Linked DNA regions of Drosophila melanogaster. The protein of the gene in region 1 interacts with the protein of each later gene in a pairwise test. Each region holds a gene or a part of one and is shown in the gene's direction. Other genes may lie near its edges.

Region 1 (5,466 bases):
AGACCGCGATAGAGCGGCTATAATTAGAAGACACCGACTAAATACTAAATCCTTTCTGCCCACAGTCCGCAATCCAATCTAGATAAATTAATTCGTCGGCTGCACATCTGCATCAAGGCGACAGGCCCGGCTCACATTTTAATTAGCCCGTTCTCCATGGTCGCTGAAATAAAGAAAATCAGCTTGGCAATGCACTTTTTTAGTCCACATGCAGTCATTCACTTGGCTTGCCGTTATGGCATCATGTTTCTATATGTTCGGGTTTGTATGCTTAATCTACAAAAATTCCCTAGCCAAAGTAGATGTGCATTCAAATGCTTCTTAGCACTGCTCTGTGACATAGTAGAGTAACTTTTGAAAAGATTAGAAAATGGAGACACAAGATGGAAAATATTTTAAACAAGCTTATCAGGAACTTAACAAAAGTCCCACAGTACATGAGATATTTATGAGATACTGAAATAAGAATATCTAGAAGAAACAGAAATATATTGCTAAAATCTAGAGATCGACATCGATGCTCACTTGCACGCTTTCTATAACAAATGAATTATAGAAAGATAACGAAAATGAAATATAACTTAAGTATTAAAACTATCTAACAATAGTAACCCCTCTACATTTTAAAATAGTACGACCAAAAAACTTTTAACATTTGAAAAAAATCTAACCGGAAAATCTCTAAAAAGAACTGTAAAAATTATTTATTTTTTCAAAACTAAAAAAGAGGTTACCTTAATATAAAATATTAATTTTTAATAGATAATAATATATTCATTTTTTAGAATTATCCCGAAATCCCTTAAATGATTTGGGGATCTTAAAAGGCATTTGAAGCCCTTGCCCCCTTCGAGTTTTTTGGAGTTATCTTGAGTTTTCTGTTCGTAACAGAGAGGCGATAAAAAGAGGCAGTGTGCCACAACAAAAACAACAACGGCAGCGGATGCGAAGGAGTGGAAATAGAAGTACGCAAGTGAAGTAACAACAAAAACAGGCCACAAGATAAACCTCAAGACAGAAACAGAATAGGCAGGGAGAAGGAGTGAGCGAGACGGGGGGACTGCAGCTGTTGAAACCTGCGTAAAAACTACGCGTGGATCCAAAAACTAACTGTAAATCGGTTTCTTAAGATTCATCAACAGCTACTTTACCAGATACTTTAATTCGGCTACATATGATGCATCTATATCTAGTCCTTGATCGATGTGCAGAGGTGAAGTTGAGAAAATCAGTTTTCTGTTATACAGACAAAACAACAAACACTCTTCTTGGGTGTTTTTATTTTCGTTGATGCGGCAAACACTTTTCGACTTCTTTTTATAAACTCCACACCGCGCGCACACACATACACACACACACACTCGCACGCGACGAAGAAGCTATTTTCCAAGTCAATCGGAAAGAAAATTCCAAGTTGGGGCCCTCGACTCGACCCGGCTCCGACTCGAAAAACGTCCGCTCTCGAGAGATCCACTCGCGAGAATGATTTCAAACTTCAGTGGGGAATCCGTACTCGATACTTTGCGATGCTTCGATAACAGAGGATCGATAGTCGTCGAAAGACGAAGACTTTTTAAATCGAATGTAAAGAGAACACATTTCAAAAACATATTACAATTTAATAGAGCTCTTTCTTTAAATTTGTTTCGAAATTTCCTTTTCTTACGAAAATGCAATACAGAAATAGAAGCTAGTAATAACGAAACCAATTGGACTTCCGAAATGATTTATTTGTCTCAGATAAAAGATTTTAAGAAATTTTAGAGAAAAAAGACTATGAATCCAATTTACTTTTATATTCAAATACATCGCGGTTCGTGTCACCGCTAAGCTGTGTATTTTTGTACCGTTAAAAAATAAGAATTATAATATTTTTTCAAATAAAGCAAAAATTTTATTTACATTTTGGAATTGCACTCTGATTGTTCTTAAGATATCAAGCTAAAACAAATTATATTAATTTAAATTACTATTACACTTACTATCATAGCTGTTTGAAATAAAAATAGTAATGCGATTAAATTCCTTTTTAATGCTTAAAATTCGCTTGTCATAAAAATTACCAGTTTGTTTCTGGTCCAAAAAATGTATACATTTTCCACTCCAGGTGAATGTAAAAGTAACGGAACGCATTTCAAAAAAAAATATCGAGCATTTAATCGATACTTTCGTGTGTTTCTCAAGCCCTGGTCTAGCAAAATGAACCGAGATGAACAATTAACTCACAACTTTCCGGAATCTCCAACTGCTCGGGTCGCTGGGCTCCCCATTCGCACTCGAAATATCCAAAAATACATAAATCGCCGGGGAAAATGCGATCATAGTTTGGTGTGAAAAATTAGTGCAATTATAATGTTATTTTTTTAACTATCTCAGAAGAGAGCTTTTCTTCGCTGCCTGATTGTGTTTATACGTTTTTCGTTACAATATTTAAATCCAAGACAAGTGCAAAAAGCTCGCTTTGAGAATGTTGTTAACCCAAGCAGACAGAGACAACAAATTCGATGTGTAATATTCGGTGACAAAATTTTTCCAAAAAAAAAAATACTTTTAAAATATAAAATCCCATTCGGGAGTAAAGTTTGTCAAAATTGTACAGTGTTATGCGGAGCGTGGTGTGGGTGTTATTAGCTGGTGCTGCTGTTGCTGACTCTCCTCTGCCTTCCCAAATTCGACGTCTTCCCTTCTTCAGGAATATTCATTCGTGAATATCCATAGCAGCAGAAGTAACAACAACACAGCAGTGTGAACCCACAATTTAGGTGAGTTTTCGTCTTAGTTTTTGGTATCCCCCTCTCCAACCCATTGAATACTTTCTTCAGCCACGTACCAACAAAAACTGTGTAATTGTAACGGCTCCCACTCTCTCTCCCTCTCTCTTCCAGTCCCCCCATATTTTGTTTTTGTAGTGCAGTGTAGTGCCACCGAAAATAGTCCAGAAATTTTTACCAAAAAACTTGATTACGCAGTACACAGTACATCCCAGTATTATTTTTCGATTTCTATGGGTTTCTAGTAGCAAAATGCGTCGGTTGCTTTTATTTATGCTCCACACAGGCACATCCACAAAAATACCAGAGAGGAGTGCCATAGCGGGACACATACAAAAAGCCGCCAAAGCACAAGAGCAAACGAGCGAGGGAGTGAGTGAGATGGAGCAGCTTTTGAGAGAGTCAGCGCATGCGCTTGAGAAAAGTGGGTTGTTTAGCAAGGGGTGGGGGAAAGTGAGCGGGTACAGGTGAATGCTGTTGGCGTTGTAATCACCATGTGTATTTGTGTGCGCTCTGTTTTTGTTGTGGTATGCGAGCGCGGCAAAATCTCTTAACACCGCGTTTCCAATTCCAACTAACTAACTTGGCTAAAAAGAAACATACTATTGACGTTGCTTTTATTTTTAAACCGCCTTTTGTTGTCATTCTTGGTGACGTCATTCGAAAAAAATAAAAACTCGTTTGTTTGTCCATTGTTTCTAATGACCAACCTAGCCCAGATCGCTAGGTCTCAAATTCCAACTGGAAAAAAGGGAAGGTTGCGTTCTATCGCATTTTTTTTTGACGACCTTATGTACAGCTCGGAAGCAGATAAGCCCGATTATGTGCATATGCTTACATGCACATATGTATGCTTATACATACATATGGTTATAGATATGAGTGTGATATGAAATTGTTGTCTTCACGTGGAAGTTGTAGTTTCAGTCAACTCCAAAGAGTCACCAATGTGGTGGGAGGGGGATGAATGTAGCTAATTGCATATTCCCGCTATATTTAGCAATGATCTTCCATTCAGAATAGAAGTGGAGTAGTGTGTGTGAGTTGGAGAAGAGATCGGTGGAGACTGAAAGATTCACTCTTCACCGTTAGAATATTATCCACGATCGCCGCCAGAGGTCGCAACTATAATAGGCGGAAACCAGTAACACGACCAATCGAGACAGATCAAATCAGAAACGTAACATAGTAATATTATCGAGATTACCAACTAGTATACTCATAACAAGTGAACAAGTAACAAAAGCTTAGCGGTTTTATATAACATCAGGGATATTTCAATGGAAGCAGGGTTAAAATTACTATGTAATTGCACTGCGCTTTCAAAGTCGGATTAAATTTCTGTAATAGCCCGCTTAAGAACCATAATCAAATTAGGATCTCCGCATAAATATTTCAATAGTTTGTTTGATAGTCAGACATTTTTAATCAATTTTTATTCAACACAGCCATCTCTTCAGTTTGCCTAATGTGGTTTTCTTATAGTCCGCGCGATACACATTTTACGATAGCAATTTAGACAAACAAAATTACATCTAGAAAACCGAGAATAAAGTATACCAGTACGCTTGGGTCTCCTTCACCTTCCTTGATGGCCTGACTTGCCCTATATATCCTTATATCTTCAGCTATTTTCGTTTCCGTTTCACAAGGCTCGCCCAATGTCATGCGATATACCCTTACACCTTGCACTATTCACATTTACCTTTGGCACACCGATAGAAATCTAAGTTTGGATCTGGCTAAAACTCCTTAGCCGACATGCAAATGTGCCATAAAAAGCGCCCGGCTTCTTGACTTTTAAACTTTAAAATCGGCCAGAGGAAATGCATAAAGCACTGCCAGGGGAAATGGGGGGAGGATTAAAAGGAACTCATTGTAGTCCCAGTTCGAGTCCGAAATTCTGCAAAGGCACGCCAACTGTGGCTTTGTTGTATGTACATGGAAAAGGTTACGAATTTGCATAAAATCGAATATTTACATGTGTTCCCCAAGCATATATGCTTGTAAGTGAAAACTCGTGTGCGTAACACTTTTGATGATGGGTGGTCATACATCGCAAATTCTGTCATGGGTTCCCCGACCACTAAAATCTATTTTCGGGCAAATAAGGATCGGATAGTGTGGTAACACATTCAACTAGACCAACTAAGAACCTTATCCAGATAGAGCATTTCAAAAGTTACATTCAGCGCAGTATTCTCGATGCAAATTATGTCATGTAGACCCTCTTGTTAGCCATAAATTTCCAAAGGGACGTGACTTTCTTGGATTTATGCACAACTCACTGTTAGGGTGTTCCCCATTCGAGTTTCCTGCTCGGCTCAGCCTGTTCCTTCTCCATTGTTTATTGGACTGCGGATGGCGGCCCAACTGATGACTTGATAGAATGAGTGCCTGACTGATGGCTATATGCATATTGATATGGAAGCCATCACCTACATTTGGCTACGGCAGGCAAAGTGGAGCAAATAGGGCTGGGAATTGCGCTTTGGGGGGGAAAAGTTAGAAAGAACTTGGGTGGCAGACACTCATAAAGTTGGTAAAAGTGACAAACGGAACACATGCTTCCACTCAATAGATACGTTTACGTAGAAAAGACGCTATACATATGTATGTACGGATGGATGGAAGTATGTATGTATGAATGTATGTATGTAGAACACCCTTTGCGGAAAACATCATTTACTGCCAT
Region 2 (5,772 bases), on another chromosome or scaffold:
AAAAGCGCCGTTACAGAGCGCCAAAGAGGAATGTCAAATTGGGAGACAGGGCTGCTAACCAATAATCATTCCAAGGTTTTTCCAACCCATTTCTGGCGGCTTATCGATACTAATTTGAAATAGTATGTATGTATCTCAGGATTTGCTTTACCTTTACTTAAATTATTATTAAAAACTATATAATATCATATTGAAAATCTTCAAAAGTTTAGGTGTCTTCAAAACTTGTTTATTTTTACAAATTCATATATTGACAAATGCACTCTACTTGAATAAATATTTTATGGCATCTTAAGTGTGAATTTCTTTTTTTAATTTCGTGCGAATTGAATTCTATCTCTCTAGACACCTACAATTGTGCTTCAAAATCTTTACAGACGAAATACCTTAACATAAACATAAAGTGGGACGAAAATAAATTCATTGAACCTGTGACACAATAAATAATCATCTAGGCATGCTAATCCTTGCGAAATCCGGGGGGCAGCGTCACATCGAAAACGATGGGGGCATTGTTGGGTAGGTAGTTGATGTCACACGTTGAGGCATTCACAAAGATGATCCTGCCATCGCTGGTGATGCCGTAGCCTTCGTGTACATGTCCGAAGACATGGTATTTCGGGCGCACTCGTTGCTGCACTGTGCTGAGTAGCTCCACACAACCGGCTCGTACGCCGGAACAGCAGAGATCGCCGTGACCCACGGGCGGCGTGTGGGTGACCAGGATATCGATGCCTTCCGGGATTTGATTCCACTTATCCAAACAGGCAGTTCCACGTGGAACATTAAAGGCCCAGCGACAGAATTCCGGTTGCCATGGCGAGCCATATATTTGAATACCCCAAATCTCAAGTAGTTCATCCTCCAAATACCGACAGTTGGTCAGAACATCGCGGACATTCTGCGTTTGCACAGCGCTCTCCAAGTTCTCCTTGGCGTTGCCCAAAGTGGGCAGATCATCGAGGATGGACATGCCGGTGTGTTTGCTGCTCGAAGCATGACTTTTGCTCTTCTGGAAAGGATGGGTGAAGGTTCTATCGAAGCTGAGCTCATGATTGCCAGCAATCACGATCTTGTGGCGATGGGGCAGTGCTCCAATCCAGGTGTTAAACTCCTCCACCTCCTCCAGTTGGCCGCACTTGGTAAAATCGCCGGCATGTATGAATATATCGCCATCTGGTATATCGAACTTGATGTAGGGCGTCAGGGAGTGCGTGTCGGACATGCAAACCACTCGTGCCTTGTTGGGCGCCACCGTGGTGGTCGGTGGCTTCATTGTCACCTTGATCACGCGCTGCGTTTTGCTAATCTCCCTCCAAGCGGCCGTGGGATCCTGGCTAAGTGGATGTACTGGCACTTCCATTTTGATATCTGCAATGGTGGCGTGTGAGGATTACTATGAATTTTCTTATGGAGAACTGGTTTGTTTACGTATAATTCAGCGAGGTATTTAAACACAGATACTAAATCTTTTGTTTAAGATAGTAAGAGCTATACATAAGACGTGGCCATGAATGTTATCTTACTAAGACAGTTCTTTAATTTTAAAGTACTGGGAATTATGGGTTTTTCGTGTGATTCGTAAATTTCATATATTAAAATATTCAATGCAATTACATTTGTGTTAAAAGGACAGGCACTTGAAAAAGATTTAATGAGTGTTGTAGTTAAGCCAATATAATTGGCGTACGTTCCAATTTAGGAAGCATTTGTAACTATATCTAAAGAGTAGAGTTAAAAGTCACAACTAATACAGGTAACAGCTTCATTTGTCAAATTAATACTGTTAATTCCTTTTACTTACTTTTAGTTATAAACTTTCCAAGCGATTCTTCCTTTTTTGCTTCTTTGCGCCTCGCCGACTTCTGATTGTTTTAGGCCATTGTGTTAGGCCTTTAAGCACACGTTGCAATCGCCGGCGACATGGTCGCGCCCTGATTAGTGCGCGTTTATTTATGTTTAGTCAAGTATTTGCAGATAAATGCGATATACTAATTTGATAATACCAATCAAAATACAAGAAATTGAGTGTTCACGCGTGACGTCATTGCCGGGGCAAAACAGCTGAGCGCCGATAGTGCAACGTAATGAAAAACGTAACGTACAATCGCCTATCGATTGGCAAGTTTCTAACGTAGCCCTGGTCAAAACAAAAATCAGCTGCTTTATAATTTTCTGCTTCTTCGCTACGCGTAAATTTTCGTCCAACATTTGCAGTAAAAAACGTTCCTAAAATTGGCTAAATCAAATTGGAAATAGTGTTTTTTTCGTGTGCATTTGTGTCAAAGAATGATAGAAGTGTTCTTTGAGTGTTTAAAAAGTGAAACGTGATTAAAAGCTGGAATTCCAGGCTGGGCAAGCAAAAAATGGCCGCAGCTGCAACTTTTGCAGACGCGTATTGTTTTTAGCCATCAATTTTTAATTACGGATTGTATTCGATTGCAATGGATCAATTAGAGCTGCAGGACGATTTGTTTGGTTTGGAAGCAGGTGTTGCAGGTGAGTTATTTCGCAATTTGTCGTCTCTTCTTAGTTTTCAGCTGCATAAGTGGCTATTTATGGGATTTAAAGAGCCTTCTGCGTGATTTTCTCGATTTTCCCTTTTGCATCGCGCAACTCTTGCGATTAACTGCACTTGTTCTTAGTTTTATGCTTTTGTTGCTAATTGCACACGCCCACTAATTGTTTGACTGTGTGCGCTGTTGTGTGTGTGTGTGTGTTATCTCACTGCATTTCACTCACTGCCTCGCCTCCTTTGTTCTCTCCCGCCCCTCCCACTTGGACCTTCACACACTTCACCTCTTCTGCATCTGTTTATCCGTTATCCATTTGTTTGTTTGCTTTGTCTTCCTCATTTGTTAAGTGATGATTCACTTTGATTGCCGGCCATCCACACGCACTCGTCATCTCTCTCTCTCTCTCTCTCTCTCTCGCCTACTCTCTTTCTCCTGCTCGCACTTGCACACCTAATCAAATTGAACAATTTATGGTTTTGATTCACTGTACCACAGTGGTGCAAGTTCTTAGTGCACAGGAAACGGTTTGTTTACTTTGAAAAACTTCTATCTTAAGGGCTTCTAAGTGCTTATATGTATGTACAATATCTTCACAGAGAGTCGCCGGTAAGTTTGGGCGTCTATGAAAATATTTACCTCTGCTCTTGATTTAGATCAAAGTGGGATTTTCATTCTAATTTTGGGTTCTTTGTTTACACTTGGGTATCGCAAATTTTGCAACAAAGGAATATAAAGCTACAAATATACGTACATACATACATACATATGTTTGCTTCTGGCTTCAATCGAAAAACTTAAATGCTTGCTTTGCGGCTTTGTCGCTAGGGAACCATTAGTTTTATTAGAAGCACTTGAGAACACATATAAGCATACATATATAAAGAGTTGCGACAAAACTAAGTTTAAAATTTAATGACTAAAGATATATGCAAAAATGATTGCATGACTATCTTATGCTTTTTTGCATGCCAAAGGTAATGAACACAAGCTGTGCAATAAATAATCTAGTATTTGTCTGAAACAAATAAGTCTTTGCCCACCGTTGACATAATGCAGTTTACATCTCATCCTTTGTCTTCTTTAATTTATGGTCTCAACGTTTTCCCTTTTTCCTTCTACTTTTTATTTGGCACACAGCAATTCCGAGATTGATTTACCGCCGATTTAAGCCGGTACGCGATCCGATTTGGCCCTATCTCAATATTTCCCCCAAAAACAAACCCGCCCACTCACTTCTACGCTTTTCATTCACAATCGCAACCAAAAAAAAAAAAAAAAGGCGGGAAAAACAGAGTGCCAAATAAACCTTGATAATGACATTCAGCGCCGAAAGAGGAAGAAAAGCAAAACAAACGTCTGGCGTCACAATGGGTGTGTTGGGATTTTATTTCCATTTGGTTTTGCTGCTCTTTCAGCAGCAGCACCACCACTACCATCGCTACCACCATCAGCACCACCTGGCAGTTATCCAACGGATTTTGTAGCGCAGTGTGGCAAAATTAGAAAATTCCGCCAGCCATCCAAAGTCAAATGTCGAGTCGTCGTTACCATCACCTGTGCGAAATTGCATAAGTTCGGGCTCCAAACGCTCGTACATCAGCCCATTTTCATTTTCATTCTCATTCTCATTTGTTTGCCCGCCGTCAAGGCACACAGTACCAAAAGCCAAAGGGAAAACACACTAGTCCGATTCAAAATCCGAGTGCAGAGAAATAGGTTTATATAGCCCACTTGGGTCCAACAAAAATCAAGTGCGTTCCCAATTCTTTTTTAGCGGGTGTAAAGTGCGTTCCGGTCGCGTGTTTGGTTCGCCTTCTCGAATCGCGTGCCAGTCGATCATTTTCGTAGTAGCAACTCCTAGTTATGCGGTGGGCGTGATGTAATTCGCCAATTGCAATAAAAGCAGTTAACTAATTCAGCAAACCAATATTGTACAAATGGAAAGTGCCCGTGCTTGTGGGCCAAAGTGCTAATTTTTCGTACATATGGCAAACAATCTGGGCGCGTTCATAATCAATTTAACTGTTTGTCGTTACAAAATGCTTTACGCGGCATTGTTTTCTTTATTATGTTTGCTTATTTACTTTTTTTTTACCTAACTTGGAGAAATCAATTTGCACAAAGTTTGTTTAGCAATTCGCCAAGGCATTTGGTCATTTCCATAAAGGAAAATCAGCAGGGAGAATTATACACAGTCTATCTTTAGAAACTATGACTTTTTCAGGTTTGCAAATCGTTCAAAACTTTGATTCAAACATTAGAATTTTAGGGAATCAATACAACTTTTGGATTATCGTAAGATAAAACTCTACTTTTGATTAGTTGACTAGACTTCTTTAAGTTATTTAAAATCAATGCTTAATAAAGTAAGAAAAACATAATGTAACTTTAAAGAATACTACAATTGAAATGTGTTTCCATCGATTTTGTGTTTTCAATTTGTATTGATACATCTTTTTAAAGAATTTACCCAGTCAACTGGATTCCCAATTTCTAATCCCTTCTAGCAAGTGGAGCGCACTTGCATTGAATTGAATTACCGCGGTTTTCCACACGGAATTCGGGTTAAGGACGTCCTGTGAAGTGTTGTAGTTGGAGCTCAGCTTCAGCCTTGGCACTCTGCGGGATTTCCACGCCGCCGAGGGCGGAAAGTTTTCCACTTAGCACTTCTCTGCGGGAAGGCGCGGCCCAGGTTACCGCCAGTAAATTGAAGCTAATGCGACAGATATAGATATATGTATGTTTATCCATCCACTAGCTGTGCTAATCAGCTAGAATCCGCAAAGAGAGAAGGCAAAGAGGTAAACAAACAAATGGTTTTCATCATCTCCCATTTGGTACAACGCGGCGTATGAGTGTTGTTGTTTTGAAAACAACTCAGCTGATTTTTGATTTCGCCGCAGTAGCCAAACAGCTGTTCCGTTCGCTCCAAACTCTCTTTCTCTCTCTCTCTCTCCCTCTCTCTCGCAATTGTTAATCATAATTTTAAATAGACAATAATCGTTTGTTTTGATTTCGAGCTTCCAATTTGCGAGCGTGCGCGAGTTGCTCACATTTTGTTGATTTTTGTACAGTATTATTTTCTGAGTTTCTTGTTGTTGTATTCTGCTGCCATTGACGTCGCGCTCGCTCTTTTTTTTGTATTTGTTTTTGGTTTTTTTTTCCCGTATAGCCCGTCCGTTTTTTTTCGGTTCGTTTTCGCCGCAGTCGAAATTCGTCGTCGTCGCCGTCGTTTGCCTCGCATTTTGCACTTTGC
Region 3 (5,848 bases), on another chromosome or scaffold:
CAATTTAAATTCAAAACAGGCGCCAAAACAAAGCATTTGGAAATTAACCAGCACTGGAGAGCAGCGAAATACTTTTATCGATAAGTAAGCTGTTGACGCATTTTCATTTGGTATTTTTACTAGCCCGTAGGTATTTACACACAGACCAGCAACGGGCACACCAGCAAAGAAAAAAGTGTTGACGAAATTATTATAATGCTGCGAATATAAACAAAGGATTGCGTTGAAAACGTATTAAATACGATCTTTGGCACTTACCAATCAGGCAATGAGTTTCAATTTCTACGTGGAATCGTTCAATTCAACGTTGCAGTCGATTGCGCGACAAGTGGAGCAATTTGCTGGCGTTGCACTGACGGCAGCCGTCGATCTGCGCGGAAATCTGGAATCTTTGACCGGTGACTTTCGTTGGGAAAACGGACCCATTGCCTTCACCGATCTGCAGGCGACACTGCTGAAGGTGCTTATCGTGCTGCTTCTGGGCACCTGCGTACTAGCCGGCTATTCGTGGTCCATTTACGGCAAAGTCATTACGGAGAAGTTTGTCAGGCCAAGTAGGAATATGCTTAAAATCAGGATGTTACGATAAGTTTACTTAAACGAAGGCCACGTCTTGCATTTCAGGCACGCTCAAGGAAATCGAGGAGCTTAAATTGTCGGTGGCCAAGTTGAAGCTGCCCAAGGAACACTCGCCGCGCATCTAGAAACCATGTCCAAGATTAAGAAGTTCTTTTCGCGGAAGAAGGCGGAGGCTGCCTTTAAGGTGGGTTCTTTCTTTAGCCAAGCCATTGGAAATCCCTTACCAAGTTCGTTTACAGCTCAATTTAACTGGCAGCGGCATGGGCACTGGCCACAAGCTGAATTCCCCCAAACAGGAGACTCCTTCAAGTAGTTCCCGCCAAAAGTATGAGGCCTATGTGCCACCAAAGCGAAATGAAATAAGTAACGAGGCCAGGGCAGCTGCCAGTGCGGCACTGGCGCGCATTGACAAGAAAACATCCAGGGAATTCAATACCTCGCTGTCGGCAGTGAAGGCACAGGCTAAAAGAGAGCTGGAGGCAGAGCGTCGCCAGAGAGAGGAAGCCATGGGCACGCCATCAACGACCAGCACATCCACATCGGCTTCCGGCGGCGACACTCGCAACCTGGCCTGCGAAGGCGTCTTCTTCCGCTGCCCCCTAATCAGCGAGGAGATTCTACCCAAGAGCGTGTGGAAGGTTCGCATCAAAGAGTTCCTCTACCAGCAGCTGGAGGCAGATCGCGGCCTCACCGCCTGCCTGATCATCCACAATTGCAATGTTAAGGAGAAGGCCGACGAGTGCATTGCCACGCTAATCCGATATCTGGAGAATCTTATCAAGAATCCCGAGGAGGAGAAGTTCTGCAAGATACGGATGTCCAACAAAATCTTCAGCGAAAAGGTGCGCTACGTGGAGGGTGCCCTGGATGTTCTGCAAGCAGCGGGCTTCAACGAGGTCCAGATCGATGGCGAACCCTTCCTTTTGTGGACCAAGGAGCAGACGGAGAAGGATCTCGACTTGCCCACACTAGTGGAAGCTCTCAAGAGCTCGGAGATTATTCCCCTGGAGCTGGATCGCAACATTAAGGTCCTACTTCCATCGCAGGCATGTCGTGTCGCCCTCCCCGACGAGTTTTATCGCCTGTCGCCGGAGGAGATCAAGAAAGAGCAACAGCTGCGATCCGAGGCCATTGCCCAGTCACAGATGCTGCGGACAAAGGCGATGCGGGAACGCGAGGAGCAGCGCAATTTGCGCATGTATCGATACGCTTTAGTCAGGGTTAAATTTCCCAATGGACTCTTTATACAAGTAAGCCATTCCGCGATGATGTCATCTGAAGTAATTTTATGTAATAAGCCGAATCATTTTCAGGGCACTTTCAATGTGTACGAAAAAATATCCGATGTGTTCGAGTTTGTCCAATCTTGCCTGGCGGACGAAAGCCTGGATTTTAGCTTGGTGTCCAACAGCGATGGCAAACTGGGCGATGAGGACTTGGAAAAGACACTATATGACTGCAAGTGAGTGATGCAATAATGTTTTCTTTAGGTACAACACTACATGATTTCCTTCATTTCAGACTCATTCCGAACACTCTGCTGCTGTTTAGCGCCAATGATACACCCGCTCCTTTGCAAACGGATATAAACTACTTAAAGGAAGACCTTCTAATGCTGGTGCAGGCTATGTAGAAGTGCTTTAACCCATATATTCAGCGGTATTTGTCCCTTATATTATAACAGAGCTGTTGTTATTTATTACTTTCAAATCTATTATTCAAAATCAATTATAAACGCACTTTACACAAAAGAAAATTTCTTTAAATTAATTTGGTTATTTGGCTGTTGCTACTTGTTCGCTTGAAATTTATTTATATTAAAAACTTATTTTTATATATTTGCTTAACTAAATACATACTTTCAAGCCACTGTGCGTCAAACAGCTGTTTGGTATCTTTTTGGCTGCGGTATTTCAGGTGGGCTTTTAAGCTTACCTGCAAACGGTCTTACTTATTGCAAAAATAAACAAAAATTGCAACGCTAGCAAGTGGAAATTGACGAATTATTATTTAACTATGAGCTTAAACTGTGAGCTGTGAGGAATTGTGAAAAGTGCACGAATCGCTGAACTATTTGGTGCTATGTAAATGTTAGTGAGTACGCAAGTCTAGAATCATATGTTTGTACCAAACAATAACAAAGTGCGGCCAATTGCATTTTGACCATAATTCCATTAACAAATGCCTAATTGTTGCTTAGTCACATTAGTTTCGGGGCTCAAAAAGTCATAAATAATGCCATTAATAAGCGGAGCAAATGTTACGCCTGTTTTGGAAGTTTCCCGCACTCTTTTGTGCGGTCAGCGCATCGCGTGGTTCCGCTGAAAACTTGTGGCCCACTGTAATTTCCCAATCCACGCGACTTTTCCTGGCCATTATCGAATTATTAATAGCATGTGGGTGCAATTTGTTGATGCGGACTACTAATTAAGCAGGCAGCTTGATCGTACGGCTGTCACATTTTAGAAACTGCTTGGAACTTAGCTCAATAATCAACCCTCTTTTTAACAATACGATATGAACTTATATGATCAATTTGAATTAATAGTTTAAACACATATTATCAGACTCATTAACTTACAACAAATGTAGCTTATCAATATACCCAACAAAGATACCTTAGAAAGATAAGATTATGCTATATAATAGATATATATGAATCCCCTTTGTTTCCAAAACATTTACACGAAATGAGAAAGTACATATATCGTATATCGTATATCGTGGGAGCCCAAAACTGGAGCATTGATCCTAATCCCAAGCTGGCTTCTTCGCTGCCACTAAACAAACAGTTGCATTTAATGAACCAATTTCGCAGTTGGCCTTTACTGTCTATCACGGCGGCATCGAAAACGGCCAAACTAAAAGTCTGTGGAGGAGTGAGGAGAGGAGTGGGTAGATTAAGGAGTGCTTCGCCCAGGCTCCGGGCACTGGCAATTTGGCGTAAATCTCGCTTGATCTTGGGAAAAGGTAAATAGAAAAGCAGCCAAAATCAAACATTAATGAATCTCTACGGCTCAGGGCTTAAATTAAGCCAAGCAATCGCGCCAAATCGAAACACGCAGCCACGAGAAGCCAAATAAAAAGCAGGCAGAAAGCCAGAGACTGCAAGCCATCGCATAAATTGGCCTGGGCTGGAGCCAAAGATTTCATTGTTGGCCATTGCTTATTATGGCCGGGCAGCGGATCTAGGCCTTCATTAAACGGCCAAAGGCAGCGGCTGCAGTTGCACCGGGAGAAATGTCACCAAAGTTGGTAGGCTACAGTTCTTAAATGATACTCAGTCCAATTAAGTGACCTTTTTTAATGCCTTATCTTTAAGATGTGTATTTAAATAAACCCTTTTGAAACTTTAGCACATCTTGCATACACGGCTTTTTCTCCCTGTGTACAATAGAGCCTTATTTCAACTTTGGTCCGCGAGGCTAGTGCGTGAGATATGCATTATTTATCTAGCGAAATTTTTCTCATTGCTGCAGCGGCAACTTGTTGCAGGCAGACTTCCTGGTTTCTTGGGCCCAGCTGCAGCCACTGCAGCCCAGCCAGGCCAGAAATTCCAAAATGATACGAATAGTTTGTTTCTGTCGGGAGATAGCGAGAAATATGTGGGACATCCTGAGGATCGTTGTCTTCTCTTTTTTTATTTTTTGGGGGGGAGCTGGAGATGGGGATGTGGATAGGGATTACGAGTTAGGGGTTAGCTGTTACCCATTGCCGGGTTGCAACCTGCACGTGCCTCGCCTCGCTGCGCCGCCTGATTGAACGATTGAAAGATCATCACCCGGCGCAAAATATCTGGCTGTACATAATGATGATGATGAGGTGCAAATTGCCGCTGCCATGAAATTGCAAATCAACTCTCCTGACTCCCGATTGCACTTCATTCTAAATTGTTTGCTCAACCCAGCAGCTCAGCCGTTTTGGCACTTCTTTCGCGAATCCTCCGGCGCCGGTGCAAAAATTGCAAATCGAATTTGCCAATTGCCGTGCTGCCTTCGCATCGCTCCACTCTCCGGTTGATTTGTTTTTGTGGTTTGGCCACGAACCAACCGCATTGCCCGCAAAACGGCAACAATTGCGAACCCGCCCTTTAACAAGCATTTAGCTTGCTCCGCCAAGCTCGTGACCCATTCCCATGCCCATTCCCGCTGCCTAGTGGCCAAGAACTTCTCCAATACGCCGGGCATGTTTATGACCCGGCTCGAAATTGAAGTGGAAATCGGTTAGCAAGCAGTGGGTTCGCTTTTCGATTTGTTTTTATCGCTCCACGCAAGCGCCCTGAATTTGCATATTTCTGCCTGCATTTGAACCCTGAACTCGAGGGGCCAAAGGAAATGCGATCCCAAAAAAGTGAGCAGGAAGACAGCGGCGTTAGTTCGCTCCTGGCGGAAATACTTCCCCTATGACGGGAAAAACAAATAAATAACCATAATTAAGGCTTGTGCTTTAATTAACACCACTGAACTTGGGCGACACAACTGGCATAGTAAGAAATGATATTTCTGGAAGCCGGAAGCAAGTATACTCTTTTGCATTCGATACAAATAGAATATAAATATTTGTATTCATGCTTATAATAATAAGTTAACTACTTATTATTATATAATAATAATTATAATTATATAATTATAATATAACCAATAAAAACAAGTTAAAATATAACTTTAATAATCATTAAAATACCATCTTTATCTTTAACTATTAACTAGTTCACATTATATGCTCCAATTTACCCTACCATGCAACCTATCACAATTCGCAATCAAATAAGAACTTCCGGTCCACTCAGCGAGTGTTTTATGAATGAAAATCTTGTCTCATTGTCTCAGCCAGCTCCTCATCCCCATCCCCATCTCCATCCACATCGCCATCATCATCGCTGTCCAGCAGTCGATCTCGATGTCCATCGTCCGATGGTCACGCTCATCGCCAATTAGTGCAATCAACAGTGCGGCTGAGATGGTGGGTGCGGTTTTTCTGGACCTCAGTGACTGGGTGCTTCATCGGGTTGCATTTGGTTGGACCTCAACCTAGGCAATTGCTAGGGAAATCTTACAGAGTTCACTTGATAAGATTAATTGACTCGGCCTCCCTTCGGTTTGTCAGCTAAAATGTAACACAATCCCTGGTGTAGTGGTAGAAACTTTAAGCTATTGAAATATTAATATGGGGCTTGGACCTACAAAGTACCAATCCTAACTTCGCTTAAACCAATATTCATTCAAAGAGTTACCTATCATAACTTACCATTATAAACTATCATAACATA

What was found.
Region 2: the proteins of Cdc14 (region 1) and fry interact in a two-hybrid assay, tested with the Drosophila melanogaster proteins (one large-scale study listed by BioGRID).
Region 3: the proteins of Cdc14 (region 1) and Ntan1 interact in a two-hybrid assay, tested with the Drosophila melanogaster proteins (one large-scale study listed by BioGRID).

What each region holds. Positions count from the first base shown.
Region 1 is NT_033779.5:7,807,458-7,812,923, reverse strand, and holds the start of Cdc14 (cell division cycle 14), read left to right. Parts: upstream 1-2,220; 5' UTR 2,221-2,762; intron 2,763-5,466.
Region 2 is NT_037436.4:9,675,499-9,681,270, reverse strand, and holds the start of fry (furry), read left to right. Parts: upstream 1-2,167; 5' UTR 2,168-2,444; coding exon 2,445-2,499; intron 2,500-5,772. Other genes in the region: CG16717 (uncharacterized protein), read right to left, coding at 461-1,363.
Region 3 is NT_033778.4:18,654,901-18,660,748, reverse strand, and holds the start of Ntan1 (N-terminal amidohydrolase 1), read left to right. Parts: upstream 1-2,526; 5' UTR 2,527-2,673; intron 2,674-5,848. Other genes in the region: CG42306 (uncharacterized protein), read left to right, coding at 269-554, 625-704; Gint3 (GDI interacting protein 3), read left to right, coding at 710-763, 819-1,829, 1,893-2,041, 2,101-2,212.